Linked DNA regions of Astyanax mexicanus. The protein of the gene in region 1 purifies or fractionates together with the protein of each later gene. This does not show direct contact. Links are inferred from orthologs where the notes say so. Each region holds a gene or a part of one and is shown on either strand. Other genes may lie near its edges.

The links. Proteins that work in one complex are often made in the same cells at the same time.
Region 2: the proteins of sdha (region 1) and sdhaf2 purify together in Homo sapiens (co-immunoprecipitation; 3 studies listed by BioGRID and IntAct, counting the BioPlex papers as one, with this or other methods). This does not show direct contact. The link is inferred for Astyanax mexicanus from reciprocal best matches to the Homo sapiens genes SDHA and SDHAF2.

The regions. Positions count from the first base shown.
Region 1 is NC_064410.1:21,966,114-21,973,226, forward strand, and holds the start of sdha (succinate dehydrogenase [ubiquinone] flavoprotein subunit, mitochondrial), read left to right. Parts: upstream 1-4,092; 5' UTR 4,093-4,190; coding exon 4,191-4,250; intron 4,251-7,113. Other genes in the region: ctdp1 (RNA polymerase II subunit A C-terminal domain phosphatase), read right to left, coding at 1,772-2,064. UniProt on the Homo sapiens protein: Flavoprotein (FP) subunit of succinate dehydrogenase (SDH) that is involved in complex II of the mitochondrial electron transport chain and is responsible for transferring electrons from succinate to ubiquinone (coenzyme Q).
Region 2 is NC_064423.1:8,988,540-8,996,053, forward strand, and holds the start of sdhaf2 (succinate dehydrogenase assembly factor 2, mitochondrial), read right to left. Parts: upstream 3,012-7,514; 5' UTR 2,915-3,011; coding exon 2,888-2,914; intron 1,061-2,887; coding exon 846-1,060; intron 1-845. Other genes in the region: cleavage and polyadenylation specificity factor subunit 7, read left to right, coding at 4,052-4,105, 5,553-5,744, 7,142-7,245, 7,353-7,498.

The DNA.
Region 1 (7,113 bases):
TGATAGGGTCCCCCAGTACATGGGTGTCCACTTGCAAAACAAACTTGACTTGTAGAGGTGTGTGTGTGTGTGTGTGTGTGTATTTGTCATGCTTTGATATGCACAGTCCCATAAACAAGAGAATAGATTACAGCATATCTCTGTGGGACTCATTGTGCGGGCTCCTCAATTACCTTGTATAACCACTAGATGAAACTGCAGAGCTTATGCAAGGCTGCAGAGACTAATTAAGACAGCACTGAACGCTGTGTGTCTGCCCCATTAGTAATTTTAGCTAGGTGTGGTGTTTTCTTAACCATATCTGACTTAAACTGCAATATTTGTTAAATGGATAAAACTATTGTGTCTTACAAAAGAAGTGAATTAAAGACTATTAACACCACAAACCAGATACCCCTCTACACGGTACACAATTCAGCTCAGTACAGTGAAGTAAATATCGGTACACTGCAGATCTAATAAACATCCTTAACCACACACAAACCCAAACACAGTACTGCAGCAACATTTGAAAAGCTAAAGGAATTGCATCCAAAGTGACAAGAGTGTTCGGCACAGGATAAAGAACATTGGTTGTGTTTTTACTTTGATATCTGTTGAATGTCATCCCTCTAAAACTCAAACTATTTAAACACATATGGATCATGCAACATTCGTTGTACTTCTTTGGACTGAATCACAACCAGATAATAAAATGCAAAGTAGTTTAGAGATTTTGCATATGTGGTTGGTTTTAACATATGGATGTTGTGTAAAATACATCAATACTTTGGTTGAATAACCTTGGTTTTTCATTACAGTTTTTATGCATCTTGGCATGTTCTCCTCCACCAGTCTTACACACTGCTTTTGGATAACTTCATGGCATTCATAAATTCAAGCAGATCAGCTTGGTTATTTTCAGCTTGGTGAAATCCAAGAAACTTATTTTTAAGTGGTCTCTATATGTATATTATACGTAAATTAATTATTTAACCTGTTACTTTAAAAGACAGGGTTTAAAACTGTGACTAATTATGGACATATGTGAAACCAAAAGATGAAATAAAAACAAATGTCTTATATAAATCATATACATATACAATTGTTTTCACTGAACTGTATTAGTATATTCATACTGAAGGCTGGAACTTAGTGGATCACATATAAATAGAGAACACAATAAGGGTAACAATAAGGGTAATTATTTTAATGTTTTGTAAAGTAACAGTGTAGTGCAGGCTAAATACTGTAGATAAAATAAAGTAAACAAAATTACCTGTAGCAGAAATTTGTCAACATACATATCAGTTTTGAAATACTGTCATTATTTGGAAATACCATTATTTTACCTATCGCTGTATCCACTGCATTACCATCATAGCCTCAATCCTACTTTTTTAGTGTTAGTGCTGTAACTTAGTTAGTTCATTTTCATGCGCCGGGTAAAATTGTTTACCTAATTATGAAAACAATGTGTTTTGGAGCAAGGCAGAAGTTAGCAATGTTTGTACCTTCATGCTGTATAAGTTTTATTTTTATTTAATCTTCTTAAACTGTTGGCAAATATTAGCCCCTTGTGTAACAGGTGCCCTCAGGACTTTTATTTTGAAAAGCTCTTCTTAAGCTCAAGTTGCTGTTAGCAGCTCATGTGCCCAAATTACCACATGCAGACAGTAACCTGCTGTAACTATAAGTGACTCTGACTGTGGTGATGAACTGATCTGATCTGGGTGAATGTAGTGATGTTAATGTGTTACAGCGCCTCTCTGCTCTTTAATCAGCAGCTTACCCGGCGGATAGGTCCTGCCCGAGCTGACAGCAAAGTTCTCTCACAACTCCGGCTCGGTCCGACTTCAGCTTCTTCTCGGGGACGGTCGGTTTGTTCGGCCGGTCCCGCTCCTGCGCTCCGGACTTCTTGTCCGCGGCTGAAGCTCCACATACTGCGATAACAGAGTCCACATTAACCAGAGCTCCGGGCTTCACCTTCCACTCCAGCAGCCGCATGCAGCGCTCTCCCGCGGGCCAGCGGATCTCACTCAGCAGCGCTCCACTGCCTCCACCAGAGTCCGCGGGCTCCTCCATGCTTCTCTAGCGCCCTGCACCGATCTCCCCCCGATACACAGGCTGCTTTAAACCGCAGAAATCAGGCTAAACCTGTGAATATACAGACTAAACCAGACTATGCAGCCAGAACACAGATTCAGGTCTGTTCTCCCTTCCCGCCCGTAAACAGGAAACACAGCGAAAGTTGACCAGATTCAGTTTCCGGTTTCTTCTTCTACTGCCTCATTCTGCCGTTAACCAGTTTAAGGTGCAGCACTGCCTCCTCTGAACTGGAGAGTGAATTTCTTTTCACAACAGACAATCCAAAACACAGAATAAACAAATGTTATATGGAATAAGGGTATCTGTTTTGCGAATTTCGTTTTGTGCATATAAAAAATTACCTACAATTATTATAAAATCTACTATAAAGCCGTCCTTGTGGTAAAATAAAGGGTTATCAAAATATCCAATATATAGTCAAGAGTCTTTTATTATCATTACATCTGATTACACAGTGACCAGTGTCCTCTGGAACCAACACAGTTCAACATTGGACAACAATGCAAACATAAAGTGCAAAAGTGATTGAACAATTGAACAGACAGGACAGTGCAGTTACGGTACAATGAAATGTGTATAGTGATAAAAAGGTGTAGGGATATTTAACATACTTTAACATATAAAACAAACATGTTCACAGCAGTTACTGAGGTAGAGAGTTATACTTCTATAGAATGAAGCAAATATTGCTGATAGGGATAGAGACATCTCAGTCTCTGTGTGCTAAGGGGAGGGTTCAGTTCAGTTGTGTGGTGATGGGGGGGGGGGTCAGCTCTGTATCTGTGTGTTGAGGGGTCTGATGGTCTGATGAAAGAAGCTGTTGCAGAGTCTAATATTGGAGGCTCGGATGTTCCTGTATCTTCTGCTGGAAGGCATCAGAGCGAAGAGTCCGTGTGAGGGATGGGTGGGGTCGTCCGCAATGCTGGTGGCTTTGCAGTTGCACTGTGTGGTGTAGATGTTGGTGATGGAGGGGAGAGAGACTCTGAATATCTTCTCAGCTGTCCTCACTTTCTGCTGTGGGGTCTTGCAATTCGAGATGTTGCAGTTCCAAAAACCAGACGGTAATGCAGGTGCTCAGGATGCTTCCTACAGCCCCACTATAGAGCATGGTGAGGATGGGAGGTGGAAGATGAGCTTCTTTCAAGTCTAAAAAAAGAACAATCCAAAAATAAAAAGTGTTCAATTGAAAAAAAGAAAAACAAACAAAATAACATTAACTGGGTAGCATATATGCAAGATTTTATATATCAGTTCTTTTATTTTGTTACTGAGAATATATTTGTACGATTCTGAACACAGAAAAACCCTTAACTAAAACTAAACCTCAGATGATTTAAAAAAATCTGAATGATATATATAGTAAGTATGTAATGCTAATAATGAACCAATAATGCTAATGTTTACACAGCAGGGCAGCCAATCAAATACACACGTTTTAAAATGCTCAGTTTATCTACTATGTATAGATAAACAAAAAAAAAATATATCCCCAGTCACAATTAAAAATAATGTAATAATGTTTTATATTAAACTCTCAACTTTATTATACACTCAAAATTATTATACACACTGTGCCCTGTGTATTTATACTATATACAGCATTTTTTTTATTTAACTTCTCATTTAGAAAAAGAAAATATAAGAACTGTCGTAAGACATACTATCTTTCTTTTCATAACATAATGTATCACTCTTCTTCAAGAAAAATGAGCAGTCAGTGGACTTGAGGTTAAGGATGTCAAGGCTACTCCAGAGAATCTAAGAAACAACGCATTAAATAACCTACATAAAATAAGAAAGGCTTTCCTCTCTCTGCTGCTGTTGGTGTGCTCTGTTTTTCCGATGTGTTACAGTAAACACTGAGTAAGTGTGTCGACCGTTTAATAAACTTATAATATTTTACAGTTAAATAGTGGTGAAAGTCAGTCGTGTCGCAGTTCAGAGACAGCGCTGCTGTTGTATGATTTAAAACTGCGTCAGGCTGAGCTCTGGCTCCAGTACAGTGGGTGGCGGTTCAGCTCTTCAGTCGGTTGACACTCCCGCAGTAACTCCAGCAGCAGAGGAAGGGCAGCACTCAGACCTGTCATTAACACATTAGCAACATGGCCGCGGCGCTAGCTGCCTACCGTGTCCTCGGGAAGAGGGTGCTGTCGTATAAAACAGTAAGTAATTCTTAAAGCCTCGGAGTTTAATGCTCTTACACAGCATTATCATACAGCAGCGCGTACCGCTGTTTATATACCCTGTTACTGCCTCTCAAACCCCGCTAACTAGCCTAGCTAAACTAGCTAGCCTAGCTTAGCCTAGCCTGCTAGCGTTAGGTAACGTAACTAGCTAGCGTTAAGTAACCGTGCTGTACACTGTTATGAAAGTTCGGATATCGGTCATATCTCAGGAAAACAGTTAAATTTCCTTCAGTTTTTCCACACATATATACCAGCTATAGTTAGCTATTTTGATATGCTTTTATTATTGTTAACCACATGTTGTTGTATATTGTAGTTAATGTAGCTGGCTGTGGGCTCTACATCTGTAAACCTCTGACACTGAAGGTCAATGAAAGAAAATAACCTAACTACATGAACCTGGCTTATTTTTTAAATTCTAATGGGGGTGGTGCTAATGATGATGATTATAATGATGGTGGTTATTATTGTATAACTCTTCTCAGTGGAAAACCTTTGTGTTCTGATATTATTGTTGCTTGTTAGCTGCTGTTGTTTGTGTTTCTTATTCCCATCGCCCTTCATGTGCTCATGCTTTAATATATTTTAGAGATAAGAACTCGGAAATTGTCCTTTATGTTCGTAATAACCAGACTTTTAATAAAATCCCACCTGCAGTCAACTTCCATTGTCTTTTGTCATGGTGCTGCAACAGTCCTTAAGCAAATGCCTACAGCTAAAATCCACTTTTAAAGTGTTGCTAAATAAAAATTATTAAAACACAATTATAATTACACATTGAACAAATTGTTAATTTATGTTTGATAGAGTGGGTTGAAATATACTAGAAACTAGTATGTGTTGCACAATTAACATGTAACATTTTATAGTGATGGTTAATCATATGTTACACTTTTAAGGGTATACATTTACCACTGTGTCATGTAGCACAAGCTAAACTGTCCCATAAAGACATAATGTTTGTACAATACTATGCAAAGGAAGAAACAAAAACAAATGACCAGCCACTAAATATGTGTGCACAGGGGTACAGTCATGCCGGAACAGAAAAGGACCTTTCCCAACTTTTTCCACAAAGATGAAAGCAAATAGTTGTCCAAAATATCTTAAAATGCTGAAGCATTAAGTTTATCTATCTACCTATCTATCTACCTATCTATCTACCTATCTATCTATCTATCTATCTATCTATCTATCTATCTATCTATATATATATATATATACACACACACACGCACACACATACACACACACACACACATATATATATATATATATATTATTATTATTATTATTATTATTATTATTATTATTATTATAAATAGTAAGCAGCCCCCTTCAACAGTAAATGTAGCTTTTATATTATACACAGTGCAAACAGTAATTTGATTAATCAGGTTAATTTTATTAACCTCCCAGTCCTTACTTGAATTCCTAAAAACAACCCCATAGCTCTCCATTCTTCCACCAAACATTGGAACAGTTGGAACAGCACAGTCAACCCCAGATTCATCCATAGCCTGCCAGATAAAAAAAATCTTAATTTATCACTACACAAAACTTGTTTTTTACTCCATCTGACACTGTGGAGCTGTTTTCATCACTGCAATTTGGATGAAGATTTTCCATTGAAAGGAAAATATAGTATTACTATATAAATATATAATACTCGGCTTAATTTCAATGACATAGGGCTTGCTCAGCCAAGAAAACAGCCATGAAGCTCCCTGTGCACAGGTTTGGAAAACAGCCCTTATTGAGCAGCTCTAATTTATGCACTGTGACTCTCTGCACCTGGCATCACTCTGTAACTTTATGTAGTTTTTTTTTTTTTTTTTTCGGTTTGTGACCGGTGTGCTGTGTTTTTCTAAAAAAAAAAAAAAAAAAAAGTCCTCTATATTATTATTTTACTCTCAGTTGATGGTGAAATTGGGAGATTTTGACTTTGAGTGGACTTTGTAGAATCACCAATTTTTTCATGATTTTTGCAAAAGCTGACTGAAAGGCTAAATGCTTGATTTTATACACCTGTGGCGATGGGTGTAAATGAAACACCTGAATTTAGTGAATAACTGGTCTGTCCTGTTATTTTTATAAGTAGTTTAACACTGATCAATCAAAAGTATTCGAAATATACATACAGAATCTTAAAAAATGCAGTTCTGCACTATTTAATTTAGCTTTTTTCTGCATTGGCAAAATTATTTAAAACAATTAAAAACACACTTACACGACTGCTTTAAAAAATACTTGCATATCATTCACCTTTCATTTAACAACACTGAATACAGAATCTTTACCCAAACCAAAGCTGGAACACTGAAGTTCCTAACATTTACTGGACTACAAGCAAGTATCTGACCCCCTCACAACAGTATCCACTGAAACCAACCAATACTCATGCCAGGAAAATGGCCTGTGAGCTATCCTGGTGTTGAATCCCCATTACCAAACCTAACGTGGATACTACTGTTTGCTATATAAAAATTAACACGCTGCTAATAGCAATATGTGTACAGTTTATCCGACTGGTACCACTGCTATGGTGCTAGCTGTGCAAATGGTGCAGATTTCAATAGAAACAAGTCTTTGTGAACAGAGAAGTTATGATCTGGCTTTGACTAACATGACTGTAACATTAGAACACAGCTGATGTGCAAGAAGTGGTGTCTGGGCAATGTCCTGAGGAAGACTTTACTGTGGTCATAAATCTTTAATTATTAACAGTCTTTAACCAGATAATCAGTTAATTTATCATTCAGCAGCAGATATCTTGTTTTGCCTTTCATTAGGTTGAAGTCTGCCTGTTATTTCACCTTTTACTGAAAAGCGTTTACAT
Region 2 (7,514 bases), on another chromosome or scaffold:
GCTGCAGCACAGATAAATGACAAAAAATTTTATATTCGATATTATGAATTTTGAGATCGTTTGACACCAATATCTATCGCGATCAAAATATATTTGATATATTGCACAGCCCTATAGTGTAGGACTTACACTTGACATATTAATACTGAATTCACCACAGTTGTGCTTATATGGAGCATTTTACTACCGCTCAAAACGCAGTCAATCAGATTTGACAGCCATAAAAAAATGCGGTAATGACGGTAATGAGCTCATCACCGCGGTGACGTCCCATAACCGCGGTATTGCGGTAATAAAATTATCGTCACAGCCCTAGGCAATACAGTACAAATATTTTATTTTATTAATTATAGTGAGAGTGCCAGTTCAAGTGCCACTATGGGTGAGAGTACCAGTGAGTGCCAGTATGAGTGCCAGTGCCAGTATTAGTGTGAATGAGAGTGCCAGTATGTATATGAGTGCCAGTGCCAGTTTAAGTGAGTAAAAGTGGCAGTATTAATGTAAGTGAGAGTGCAAGTGTCAGTGTGAGTGAGAATGCGAGTGCCAGTATGAGTGTGTGAGAGTGCCAGTATGAGTGAGAGTGCCAGTGCAAGTGCCAGCAAGAACATGAAAGAATATGAGTGGCAATATAAATGTGAGTTAAAATGCCAAAGTGAGTGCGAGTGCCAGTATGAGTGTAATAGTGCCAGGGCGAGTGCCAATGGGAGTGCAAAAGTGCCAGTATAAATGTGAGTGAGAGTGCCAGTATGAGTGTGGGTGAGAGTGCCAGTATGAGTTCAAGTGCCAGTGTGAGTTCAAGTGCCAGTAGAAATGCGAGTGCCAGTGCGAGTGCCTGTGTGTCTGACCTGAGGAGGATGCAGTTCTCCAGCATGCCTCTCTTTCGGCTCTCGTACAGCAGACGCTTTCTCTTGATGTCCAGAGACTCGTCTTTTCTCTCCTGCCACGGCGGCAGGGGGATCTCTATCAGATTAGGTTCTGGAGCATCACCCCGGTACCCCCGGGTCACCACTGCTGCTGTGACAGGAGACCGAAGGGACGTCCGGCAAACAGCACAGAGCATCTGAAAACGATCAACATCAGTACTGTTCTACAGGATTACTGTAGTGAGAATGTGATTACCGTCAGTAAAAATTGAATGTTCAATATTTAACTCAAATCTATGGTTACATTTATTTTAATTTAAGTCAGAAAGTTTCATTTAATGCACTCTCAAAATCACATCTGTTCTTCGGTGATGATTCTTGAAACGTTACATGCTGCAGCGTCTCAAAACGCACACCCCAACAATTCAATCACTGCAGTTTACTGTATTAATGCTGTAATGTTGGTACTCTATGTAAGGCATTATACCTTTTACTGTTCTACCAGAATCATTTGCCTGTTTTTTAATGTATCAGAGTTACAGAACAATACATTGTGCCCTAATGTTTTCCTGCTTCAGCCTTGTAGTCCTTGTTACGATGCTTGCCAAACTCCCATACAGGGAGACACAAAGACACCGGGTAGTGCAATTGAGTAGTGGATGGAGGTACCATGCTGACATAGAAGTTCATTCAAACTGTGATTTATTTACATGCAGTGAAAAATACAAAACACAAAGACTGAATAAAGAAAACCAAACTTTTCTGGAGTCCCACTGTCTGAAACATTTAATGTTTTCCAAGTGACCAACACAGCTGATCAAACTAACATTGCATTACTGAGGTAATGATGTTTAAAAACAGGAAAAGCATTGATTGAAGCAAGATGTGCAGAGCAGTGGGCTCCCAGGACCAGTGCCCGGTTGCTTTAAGTATAAACCTTAAGGAAGAATTTCCCCTTAGCTAAGGGGATCACTTAAGTGTGTTGTATAAAATCCTTCAGACAAGTCACTAATCTAAAGGGAACTGGAAGAGGATTTACTGCAGTAAAGCTCAACTGTAAACATAGCCACTTACTAGCTGTAACAACCCTCTAAAAATTAATTTCATTATTATTTTCAATATGAATACATCCCTCAGAAATAAACATCACCCAGTTATTAATTGAGGTTTGTTGGTCCCGTAAATAATTATATTTGAATAAGCTGTTGATTGACTTTGTTCATCACTTAAGGGATTATTTAGGGGAAATTTGATCATTTAGGAAACATTTAAGGGTTTATGATTATTTCCCTTAAGAAAACACTTTTTTTGTTTGTTTTTTTTCTGCAACACACTGGTCTTTAAAGTGTCGTTTAGGGCAATCTTAAGGGAAACAGTAAACCTGTTTTATGCAACCGGGAACAGGAGCGCTGTTCTTTACTATGCACTTTATGGGTGTTGTAGTTTTTAGCAGGACCGGCTCACCTTCACCCACGTTGAAATGTCTCAATCTGAAAACTACAATTTGGAAATCGCGAAATTAAACCAAAAATGAACTTTATATTAAAGCAGAAAGTGAATGATGTTGACCTTAAACAGTGATACGGGTAGACTGGAATTTCGACTGAAATATTATGATCTAATATGCTTCTAAAAATTAGTCTAAAGAACACAGCTAGAGGACAATTTCACAACAGAGCTAGTGCTAGCTTGCCATGCTAACTGGCTAACACTCGCTACAGTGACCTTAACACGGCTTCCCTTTCAAAACACAGCAGCAGCTAGCTCACTGTGGAGAGTTCAAACACTCTTAATAAAATTAATTTATTTACACTTTACACACAGCTTACTAGTAGCTAACTAGTTAACTAAACTAGCTAACTAGAAGCACCCCAAAAGACAGAGCGCTACACCAGTATCACTTAGCTCTAAACCTACATTACTTAACCTGCACTCATCCCTTTATACTTTACACAAATGTAATGTCACTGATAATGTAATATATGTTAAATTGACTCCCATATAATCCAATATAAAGTACTCACTCTCCTTGTCAGTGCGGAAGAAAACATCGCGAGTGTAAAAGTCAGTAAAATCCAGCTGGCAGGACTCAAACACAACACGCTCGAGTTCAGCACGCGCTATTTCCTTCCCACCCGTTTTCAGGAACGCTCCACCTGCCCTGCGCTTCAATTGGTCAACCAGATCCCGCCATTGTGTTGCGATTGGCTGACTCTTCGCGCTTATAAGCAATTTATCCAATAGTAGCGTAGAAGGGGTGGGGTTTATATAATACAGGTGGGAAAATTAAACGCCAACAGTGTTGACTTTGCTTTGCATGGACAGTTCCAGTTTAATGAAATATTATTAATTATTAAAGATTTTACTCCCAGTTTTATATAAATAGCAACACTTTAAAAATGAATGTATAATGAATTTATTAAAATTTTATTATTTAGCTTGACTCTTTTATTGCAATCTTAATATTATATGCAAAGATCTTTACACAAGTTGCGTTTGTGAGGTAGTTCCAACAGACAACAGCATGGATGTAGAATTATTACATTAATGTTTATAAAAACTAAAGTTAGCAAAAAGAATATAAAAAAATAATAATACTCAAGACATATATCGTACTTATTTTCATTGAAAAACTGTGGGGAAAAAATGTGTTGATAATTTTTAAGTTAAGAATATTTACTAAGTAATGGATTTTCAGGGTAAATAGTCAGAATGAGTTTAAAACGTATTTATTTTTGCTTCATTTTAAAATGCAGTTTATAACATACGATTCATAAACCTAATATGGGATGTTACAGGCCGAAGCGTGAGGTGGAGGAACCTTTACACCGCGGCTGTGTTTCTCTCCGGACTGTGTTTTAGAAGTCACTGATGGCCGAGTGCTGTAGAGATTTATATATTGTTATTATTTATTATTTTGGGAGATTAATGTGTGTGTGTGGATAAAGGAACAGTATAATACTGTATAAAATAATAATTATTATAAAGCGCGCTGAGCTCAGGCTGCGGGGGAAATGTGCTATTTCTGTAGGGAAAGGCGGGAACAGGCGATGTGAGGAGAGTAAACAGAAAACCCAAGTTTCATTACCGCACATTTCACATTAATTCGGATTAATCCTACAAAAAACGGTTTATTAGACCAGAAATCCAGTGCACACCAGCAGAGCCTGCAGGAGGGGGTTATCCTGATGGCAGCAGCAACGGAACCAATCGACATATACGACGAGCTGAAAACGGAGGCGGTAAGATCAGCAGCAGCATGGAGGATTTACCTCAGTTTATCACACGTTATAATCACCTCAAACTCATTACTACACTTTATAATCACCTCAAACACATTACCGCACTTTATAATCACCTCAAACACATTACCACATTTTATTAACAGCTTAAACGCATAACTACGGTTTATAATCACCTCAAACACTTTACCACACTTTATAATCACCTTAAACATTTAACTACGGTTTATAATCACCTTAAACACGGTACTACACTTTATACTCACTTTAAACACATTATTACACTTTATAATCACAGCAAACACATTACCACACTTCATAATCACCTTAAACACTTAACTACAGTTTATAATCACCTTAAACACGGTACTACACTTTATAATCACCTAAAACACATTACTACGCTTTATCACCTCAAACACTGTACTACACTTTATTACCTCAAAAACTTTATTGAAATTTATAATCACTTCAAACACATTACTACACTTTATACTCACTTCAAACACATTATTACACTTTATAATCACAGCAAACACAAAACTACACTTTATAAGCAAACACGTTGGTACACTTTATAATCACCTCAAACACATTACTACACTTTATAATCACCTCAAACACATTACTACACTTTATAATGACCACAGACAAGTTGCTGCAATTTAAAATGACCTCTAATGGGGTGCTGAATGCAGTCAGCTTCTCATCAAAACAATGTTCCAATAGTACAAAAAGTTACAAGAGGAGTGCAGGCTGTTACTGGTGTAAAGCAATCTGAGGAAATGATGATTCTCTGTTAGCTGAAATTAGTTTAAAGACATTACGGTAGGGCTTCCAAATGCTCAAGCAGTCTAAGGTGCTGTCAGTATCATCCAAAAGTGGCAGATCTGGGTCATGGTGCTTCTGCATCAGCAGCCGGAGTCCGTTAGAGAGTACAGTAGGTCATGCTGCTTCTCCATCAGCAGCCAGAGTCAGAGAGAGAGAGTACAGTAGGTCATGCTGCTTCTCCATCAGCAGCCAAAGTCAGAGAGAGAGAGTACAGTAGGTCATGCTGATTATCCATCAGCAGCCAGAGTCAGAGAGAGAGAGTACAGTAGGTCATGCTGATTCTCCATCAGCAGCCAGAGCACACTGGCTACCTGATGATGCTAAATCAGTAACGGTTTAAAAAAAAAGGCGCATTCTAACTTCACATACACAGTGCCATGAAAAAGTATTTGCCCCCTTACAGATCAAACCAAATTTAATATCAGACAAAGATACCATGAGTAAATACAATAAACTTATTTTTTAGAGATGCTTTTATTTGTTAAGGGAATAAATCTATCCAAACAATCCTGGCCCTGTGTGAAAGAGTAATTGCCCCCCATAAATTAACTGTGATAACCACACGCCTAGCGCTACACAATCTGTACTGTACAAACTCTGTATGTCTGTCCTGCAGACTGGTGACATTCTTTCCACGGAAAACGACGCTCTGTATGACGATGTAGTGACCGGTTCTGTAGGCAGCGAGAGGCCGCAGGAAACAGAGACAACTAAGGATGATAACAAGCCGGAAGTAGTTTACACGTACAAAGGCTGTACAGCAGATAAGTCCAAACGGTTCTCAGTCTACGTGGGAAACTTCTCCTGGGTAAGCAGTTAACCATTCGTTCATATAAACTGAAGAGTGTTTTGATATTTTGGAAGCATGTCTAGTTCATGCTGTTTCATATACAGTGAGGAAAATAAGTGTTTGAACACCCTGCGACTTTGAAGTCTAAAATTTATCTTAGGTGCATGTCCACTGTGAGAGACAAAATCTAAAAAAAAAATCCGGAAATCTCAATGTATGATTTTTTTATCATTTATTTTTAATAATGTTACTGCTGCAAATAAGTATTTGAACACCTGCCGATCAGCAAAAATTCTGGCCCTCAGAGACCTGTTAGCCTCCACTCCACTTATTATTCCAAGTTAGAAGCACCTGTTTGAGGTTGTTAGCTGCATAAAGACACCTGTTCTCCCCACACAATCAGTAAGACTCCAACTACTAACATGGCTTAGACCAAAGAGCTGTCCAAAGACACCAGAGACAAAATTGTAGACCTCCACAAGGCTGGAAAGGGCTACGGGGCAATTGCCAAGCAGCTTGGTGAAAAAAGATAAACTGTTGTAGCAATTATTAGAAAATTAAAGTAGAGGCTTAACATGACTGTCATTCTCCCTCGGACTGGGGCTCCATGCTGTGGGTAATGCACTAAGACGCCAAAGTTTAAGGTCATGCATGGCACGGAAGGTTCCCCTGCTTAAATCAGCACAAATCCAGGCCCTTCTTAAGTTTGCCCATGACCATTTGGATGATCCAGAGGAGACATTGGAGAAAGTTCTGTGGTCAGATGAGACCAAAATAAAACTTTTTGGTCTTAAATCCACTCGCTGTGTTTGGAGGACGAAGAATGATGAGTACCATCCCAAAACCACCATCCCTACTGGGAAGCATGGGGGTGGAGGCATCATGCTTTGGGGTGTTTTTCTGCACATGGGATGACAGGGGCCATGTTTTGCGAGATTTTGGGTAACAACCTTGTTCCCTCAGTTAGAGCATTAAAGATAGGTCATGGCTGGACCAGGAATGGACCAGAATCCCTGCTGCAGTGTTTGGTGCAAACCTGGTGAAAAACTACAGGAAACGTTTGACCTCTGTTATTGCAAACAAAGGCTACTGTACCAAATACTAACATGGATTTTTCAGGTGTTTAAATACTTTTTTGCAGCAGTAACAGACAATTAAATTATTTTTAAAAAATCATACACTATGATTTTCTGTTTTTTTTTTTTTTTATTATTATTTTTTTTTTATTTAGTTTCTTACCGTGGACATGCACCTAAGATTAAAATTTCAGACCCCTCCATGATTTCTAAGTGGGAGAACTTGCAAAGTCGCAGGGTGTTCAAATACTTATGTTCCTTATTGTATATATTTCTGTAGAGCTTCCTTTAAGATTAACAAGGTTTATCTCTGTCTGCCCTCTTTTCTGAATCCTACAGTGGACCTCAGACAAAGATCTGGTAAATGTAGCGCGGACACTGGGTGTTAAAGATGTTGTGGATATTAAGTTTGCAGAGAACAGAGCTAACGGTCAGTCTAGAGGGTGAGTTTTCTCTCTTTTTTACTCTTTTGCTCAGTTTATTTCTCTTATCCTTGCTCTCTTTGCTCCCATCACCATAAATTTAAAGCATATTTCTTTGTTATTTCCAGTTTTGCAGAGATTGTGGTGTCCTCAGAGGAGTCTGTGAAACAGTTAATGGACTCAATCCCACACTGTCAGATAAATGGTGAGAAGGTGGAGTGCCGCTACGCGACGCGGCAGAACCTGGCCGTGTTTGAGGCTCAGGCTAGAAAACGTGAGTGCGCAGTTAA